Oryctolagus cuniculus: one gene and its partner. The protein of the gene in region 2 purifies or fractionates together with the protein of the main gene of each other region. This does not show direct contact. Links are inferred from orthologs where the notes say so. Each region holds a gene or a part of one and is shown on either strand. Other genes may lie near its edges.

Region 1 (3,805 bases), on a different chromosome or scaffold from region 2:
TTAAATCCATGCCACTTTCTCTAAAATTATTATCCCAGGCACTCATCAAGAGCAGGGTCCTATAATCAGGAACAACTATCAGAATAAATTATGACATTTCTTTCTCAATATAGCTATAGAGGAGGCACACTTTTAAAAACAGAAATAAAAGAAAAACGAAAAATAACAATACCAGACCAAAGACGTCACAAATTATAAGCAAAACAACATACTGCAGAAACCCACTAAGTTCTAGGAAATGTGTGATGTCACTGACTAAACATAGAAGGATGAGAAAAACCCAGAAAGGAGATTTCATTTGCTGAGACCAAGAGAAAGCCTAGCGGCACAAAATTTATTTTTAATCCATGTTGCTCCCAAGTATACAAGCAGGGCCACGGGAACGGCGAGCGCACACATCCATGGCTTCACCGCCTCCAGCCAGCTCCATGCACAGGATCTGTCAAAGGCACGACCCTAGGGCCACCACAGACACAGCTGATGGGAAGGGACACTTACTTTTTGGCAAATCCCCAGTACTAGAGGCTGAAACGGTCCTGCTTCTGTCATGGGATGGACTGCTTTCCTCTTGCTCGGTCAGTGGTGATCCCTCGGACAGCACAGAGCCGCAGGCCACAGGTTCTAAGGACCCCGAGAAGAGAGAAGTAGAAAACTCGGGAAACTGTGACTCGGGAATTTTATGTCGTCCATTTGGCAATTCACCATTGAACTGTTCGTAGGAGCTGCTATACGTGTAATCACTTTCTGCATTTGGCTCATCAGGGTTATACTCCTCAGGATTTGGGCAGTCATCTTCATCATCCTCTTCTTCCTCCAGCTGCTGTTCCAGTGAGAAGGGGCCATTCTCTATATGGCCATTGGTTTTTGGGGATTCTATCCAGGTGGGATCTAGGTTCGCAAGTTCCTGTTCAACATCATCTTCATCTTTCTCAATGTTTTCTTTCTCGGCATCTTCTTTCTCGTCTTGGTCCTCGGCGTCACCTTAAAAAGTGGATGGGTTAGAAATTAGCACCCTCTCCCTCTGTGACATGGGTGCTTACCTCCCCTTCCACAAGACTGAACCTGGCCGTGCTTCATTTATGTATCACAGAGTGAATGCCTCTTGACCCTTGGGGTAAAACCTTTAGGTTTCCTAAATCTTAATTTTTGTTTACTCACTAATTGGCCTATTCTCAGGATAAGTTAGCTTTTAGGGAAAATCTTCATTAAAAAATGTTGTACTTCAATTTCTACCTTCTCTGCAGCCTTCAGAAAGGGTTTTTGTGGTGCCCAACAATTAGCCAAAGGTTACTTACAAACCAAAGGAAGGACTGTCACTAGTAAGACAGACTCTGTGCTTCTCAGACATTTTCTGTACTTTAAACCCTATGTTGAGAAGTTACCGTATTCCTGGCCCATATTTTGCAAGTGAGGGCCCGGCCTATCTCTGATACTGCCAATACGGAGGTGCAGGGAACGGTCTCACTATCTGAAGAGGCAGTGTGAAGTAGGTGCAGGCCCCCAGCACCGAGCAGCCCCCAGGCCCCACTGACCGCTGTCCTTTGCGGTCTCCTCCTCGGCGGTCTCCTCCAGCCCTGCCGCTTTTAGTTTCCCTTCTGGGCGGTATTCACCATCTTGCTCGTTGGACGGTACAGCTGAGGTGATGTTTTCTTCTATTATTTTCCTTTCAGCTTCACGCTCCAGTTCTTCTATCTCCTGCAGGCGTTTTTCCAATAATTCTGCCTGCCTCTTCTGCTTCTTTTTCAGCTTTTTCTTTTTGTTTTTAGATATTTTTCCTATCTACAATGTTAAGAAAACACCACAGGTCAGTTTCCATCTTTTTCAAGTACCACCCAATAGTACAAGTGCTGGCAGCATAGCAGATGCCAGCAAACTGCTTTTCTGTGTCCTACCCACTGACAGGCACAAGCTCAGACATAAGTCCACCTTGCGGTTGGGGTTGTGGTAAAAAAAGAACTCAGTGCAGGCAGAAACCACATGTGGGGTCTACCATCAGGCCCTGCTCTAGAAGGTGAGAGTTCAAACCCAAAAGACTGCACCACTTAACTCTGAAAGAACTGAAAATCCTGCAACACTCTTGGCTTTGAACAAGAAGCTCCTCTTGCAAGTTTTATTTGCTGCTGCCTGTGTACAAAGTAACACCATCTCATCTTACTGCCACAAATAAACAAAAACAAAACAAAACACCTGCCAAAAGAGGTGTATGTCACTGTTGGTCAAAAATATTCTTGGGTGTCTGGCTCTCACATTCTCAGTGTTATCAACAGCCAAGACAGGACGAATTCAAAGAAATGAGCATACAAAGTGCACTGCGGGAATACCACGGCCATGGCCATGTGACTTGCAAGCACTGGCAGTGACAGTCTGGAGTCTTCCACAGAACCAGCAATCTCAAGCTGCTCTAGAATTAAGGGAACGCGTTGGGCTCCTCACAGATGAGGAAGCCCAATTACCACAGCCTCCCACCCCCACAACTTGAACTGAACTCCCACCTCAAAGTGAGGGCTGATGTACTGGATATAGTGTTTTGATAGAGCCACAAAATAGGTAACACTCTCATAATTAATAACTGGCTAGAAAACAAACTGGAACAAGAACTTCAGAACTTGTTCTGAACAAGAACTTCAGCAGTAACGTGGAAGCCAACCAGAAATAATGTAAATGACCTGGAAACAATCACACTTCAAACCTCACATTTCACCAGATGTGGCCAACGGCACTCCAGAAAGGAATAAGGAAGGTAGGCCTTTAATTACTGCAGCCCTGAAGAAAGCATTTCATCTTAACCCAACAGCAACTCACACAGCATTCATAAACATGTCTACTCTTCAGTATGTATCAGAACATCTGTCATACTTTGGGAAACGCTATAGTAAGCAGTCCCTGATGACAAAATGAACACAGATGTATTTGTTAAGTACTTACAGGTTTTTGCTGTGGAGCCGTACTCACTAAAACAAAATAAAATAAAATAGATGTTTAGAAGAAAATAAATACATATCTTTACATAGGTAATTCAAATTGCAAAATAAAATAATTACTATCTCTTAAAGGCTATCTAACTTCAAAAATTGTTCAAATTCAGAGCTTCTTAATTATAGGGATTCAAAAAGTTTAGGCATCTGAAATAACTCTGAAATAACTGGCTTTTTTTTTTTTTTTTTTTTTTTTTTGACAGGCAGTTATACAGTGAGAGAGAGAGAGACAGACAGAAAGGTCTTCGTTCTGTTGGTTCACCCCCCAAATGGCTGCTACGGCCGGCACACCGCACCGATGTGAAGCCAGGAGCCAGGTCTCCCATGTGGGTGCAGGGCTCAAACACTTGGGCCATCCTCCACTGCCTTCCTAGGCCACAGCAGAGAGCTGGACTGGAAGAGGAGCAACTGGGACAAAATCCAGAGTCCCAACCGGGGCTAGAACCAGGGGTGCCAGCGCCGCAGGTGGAGGATTAGCCTAGTGAGCTGCGGCGCCGGCCAATAACTGGCTCTTAAAAGGCACAGCAATACCATTGATCCTGAACCATTTCTCTTATCTATATAAAACTGTAAAAACAATCAACCCTAAAACACAAAAAGGTGACTTAAGAAAATGGAGAAGAGTTCACAAAGAGCACATTGTCACTGAACCAAATTTGTTTGCAATCTATTTGTAAGCTTTCCACAAATGAATTAAATAAACACTGCCACAAGTATGTAGCATTCTGGAAATCCCATGATTAGATTCCTCCCAATGTCAAGAGCCTGACAGGTTGGTTGCATATTCTAAACCACATCCTAATCAGTAGGAAATGAGACCAGAGACAGCA
Region 2 (3,805 bases):
GCCAAGGCGCTCGCCCAGCCTGCCCACTCAGCGGGGAAGCCCAGGGCGCGCAGGGCCACGTGTGGCCAGACGGTTTCCCAGGGCCTTCTCACTGGCACAAAACTGCTCTGGGCCGTACGGGTATCCAACAAAGGTAAGTTTCAGACACAGGAGCCCAGAGACCAAATTGTGGAGGGCAGGTGAGGGGCAGGCGTGGTGCAGAACCCCTGCCTGCAGTGCTGGGAGACTGGCCTCCCCTCCTGCCACAGGGCACAGGCCGCACAGGCGTAGGCGCCACACTGCTACAGCTGGGGAGAGGGCCAGGGCAGTGGCGGGGCAGAGCCAGGGAGCCCGCGCGGGGAGCGGGAGCGGGGTCCTTACACCACCCGCGCACTGTGTGCTTGCCGCACGCCATGACGTATTCGCTCTTCTGGTTTTTCCCAGGAACCACCTCGAACTTGATGGATGTGTCCCCCATTCCATGGTTTCTACGAGAGCCAAGACAAGGTGGCATGGAGCGGCGAGCAGAGAACGGGACTCCTGGGAGGGCTGCTCGGGGACGCTCCCCACCTGCTTCGCGGCGGGCGGGGGCGCCTCCATCCTCCCCACGCAATTCCACGGGCTCCGCCCAGGAGGAAGAGCCGGGAGCTCCTGCCCTACCTTTTAAGGCACTCGTGGAGGATCTGATACGGAGACAACAGCCCAGCCTTGCTGGTCAGCTCGTAGACCCGCGAGTCCTCGATACTGATGTGGTTAAAGTACTGCAACACCAAACGGATGCTGTGAGTCCCGGCCCGGCCGCCGCCCCCGGACACTTTCGCTGGGACCCCGCCTCCTCATTCTGACAGAGGGACAACCAGAGGCCGAGGCTTGAGGGAGGAGCCTTCTGGAAATCACAGGCGAGGGAAGTCGGGCACCTTGCAAAGTCCAGCTCTCCGAGGCCAGAGGCCCCACGGAGACGCCGGCCCAGACAGCAACGGGCGGTCTGGCCTGGCCAGCGTCTCCAAGACAAATCACAGCTGTGGCCCTGCAGCTCCGGCACGAGCACGCCCAAGGGAGCCGGCTGGAGAGCAAGGGCCTCACTGCGCTCCCCCGGATGCCGGCAGCAGCCTGGGCACACATCCCCCGGCTCGTGGCAGCTCCACTCCAACCTTCACTGGGCTCCTCTCCCCTCCCGTCACAGGGACGCCATCAGGCTGACTATATTTCCCAGGCACCCACGGCTGCACTGTGACAGGCCCTTCTGGGAACGTGATGGGGCCCAGCACAAGGTGGCCCGGGACTGGGCAGAGGGTCGCTTTTCCCAGCTGACAAGCAAGCTCCAGACACCAGAGTGGCCGCCCAGCCAGAGGGGTGCACGCCAAGCTCACAGCCATCACAGAGCTGGCCCCGCCCTGTTCTGCAGGTGTCTGCTCAGGGGCCGCCTGCCAGGACAGCGCATAGAGAGGGGACAAGTCACCTCCGAACAGGTCACCACTGCTGCAGACAGCAGGCGACGAGCCCAGGTGATGGGTGCCCAGAGGATGTCACGGACCACCCGACGCATGTAGACCCAACAATGCAGGTCCCGGGGACCCCTGCCTTGGAAAGCACAGACTACCGCAATCTACCCAACAAGTGAGATCCGTAGGTGAGAACCCCGGGGCTCAGAGGGCTTTTTTGGATCTGACCACCAAACACTTAGGTAAGGGAAGACAGGACTCTGTACAGACTCCTTCCAAATCCCAGCCAAGTAGGGACAGCTGCCAGCTCATCCCACGACGGCCTGGCACTCGGGGCAGATGCCCAGGAGCTCAGGAGTGGACCCTACACACACGCAGGAGCAGACTGGCACCATTACACAGCCCGAGGCACGCCCACTGCCCAGCTGGGGTCAGCCCCGGAACGGACTGAAAACACAGACTCAACTCACTGAACTTTTGTATTTAAAAAAGGCTAAACAAAAAAAAAAAAAAAAAAAAAAGATCAACAGACATAGAAAGGGTGCGTGGCAAAAACAGAAGGGCACATGACAAGATGCACGGCCTTTGTCGACGCTCAGCACACAGGACAGAGGAGCCTTCTCAGCCTGCTGAAGGGCAGCTGCAGGAGACAAGCCTGGACGCTGCCCTCGCAGAGACAGAGGACAGAGGCGGCTCCGCTCTCACCACGCTACCGTGGGCGAAGACACGGGGGCCGGGGCGCCCAGATTGGAAAAGGAGCGTTCACAAGGGACAGATCGGACCTAGGAAACCCAAGAAATCCACAGGGAAGTGACGGAGGCATAAAGGAGTCTAGCAAAGGGAAGACACGAGGCTGCTGCAGACGCGCAACGGCACCTCCACAAGGCTAGCAGTGAACAAGCAGGCGGAAACCGGATTCAGCTCCTGGCTCCGGCCTGGACCAGCCCCAGTCAATGCTGCCGCCGTTTGGGGAGTGAAGCAACAGATGGAAAGATCTATGTCACTCCCTCTCTAGCTCTACCTTTCAAATCATCAATCTTAACAAAACAAAACAAGGACGCTGCTTGGGACAGGGACACCCCAGCACATGCTGGACGGCCTGGGGCGTGTCCCAGCCCGACTTCCAGCTCCAGCCTCCTGCTCACGCGCACCCTGGGACACAGCAGGTGCTGGCTCGGGGCTGGCACCTCTGCCCCCACCGTGGAGACCCAGATGGAGCTGAGCTCCTGCCTTTGACGTTGGCCAGCCCCAGACGCTGCAAGCACTTGGGGAGTGAACCAGATAGGAGATCTGTCTCTTTTTTGCCTATAAAGAAATTGTTCAAAAGGAGGTAGAAACTCCTCAAGCATATCTCGGATGGTAGCGGGGAGCCTTACCCAAGGTGAAGTCTATCTGGTCTTCGACTCCAACACCCACAGCGTCTGAAAACCTGGAGGGCTTCCTGTTTACTCGGCGCCTCCCCACCCCTGAGCTTATGCCACCGAGGCGGCTCAGGACAGGTCCCAGCAGAGGGTGAGGGTGCTCAGCCCCTCCTCCTCGCTGCAGAGCACAGCCGCGCGCCACGACGCAGGCGCTCCCGGCTCCGCGGGGACAGAGGCTCCTACGTGCAGGATCCTTCCGGAACTCCTAAGTGTCATCTGCTCACGTGTGTGCTGTACAATAAACAGCTATCACAACTAAAATGTTCTCCTGAATCCTCTGAGTTTCTCCAGCAACTAACAAACCCAGAGGGGTCGTGGGACCTTCCTGGCAGAGGCAGGAAGCTGGGCCCCGCCAGCCGCAGGCATCTTAACTGGGGGCTGCCGAGAGGGCCTTCCCCCAGGAGGAGGCGGCAGGTGAACCAGCACACGCCCTCGGTGGCAGAGCTGGATTCCCAGGCCTGCAGCAGCTGCGCGGAGCCCTCCCACACGCCTCCTCGCCAGGGGAGCTTCCTTCTTCCGCTTCCTTCCAGAGCCACTCCGGGAAAGCGCCCCCGCTCCCCAGGAGAACCTGACCCACTCACTCAGGCAGTGAGGCAGCCGCAGCAGTCACCCCCCAGGCGGCTCACTCGAAATCAGGTTGGAACGCACCTCTTCCTGGAGAGGACACTATTCCAGCAGGCTACAGTTTTGGACTAAGTTCCTGCCTTAAGGCCCAACAGCCCTGGCTAAAAACCAAGATGGAGTCACTGATGCTCAAAGCTCCAAGCCACTAAGCTGAAACTAAGCTGTTTGCGTGACCCGCAGAGCAATCAGCAGAGTAACAGCCCAAACTGCCACACAGGGCCGGGGCAGCGGGGCGTGACCTGCCGTGAACCAGTCACTGTCCCGCTGCTCTGTCGCCGTGCCCTCCTCCCAGGGACGGCAACTGTGGGATGGCCCGTCTACTGTGCTTCCTGTCTATAA

The links.
Region 1: the proteins of DGCR8 (region 2) and SRPK2 purify together in Homo sapiens (affinity purification with mass spectrometry; 3 studies listed by BioGRID and IntAct, with this or other methods). This does not show direct contact. The link is inferred for Oryctolagus cuniculus from reciprocal best matches to the Homo sapiens genes DGCR8 and SRPK2.

The regions. Positions count from the first base shown.
Region 1 is NC_091434.1:139,311,381-139,315,185, reverse strand, and holds part of SRPK2 (SRSF protein kinase 2), read right to left. Parts: intron 2,952-3,805; coding exon 2,926-2,951; intron 1,780-2,925; coding exon 1,533-1,779; intron 982-1,532; coding exon 499-981; intron 1-498. UniProt on the Homo sapiens protein: Serine/arginine-rich protein-specific kinase which specifically phosphorylates its substrates at serine residues located in regions rich in arginine/serine dipeptides, known as RS domains and is involved in the phosphorylation of SR splicing factors and the regulation of splicing.
Region 2 is NC_091452.1:27,771,763-27,775,567, reverse strand, and holds part of DGCR8 (microprocessor complex subunit DGCR8), read right to left. Parts: intron 741-3,805; coding exon 640-740; intron 468-639; coding exon 361-467; intron 1-360.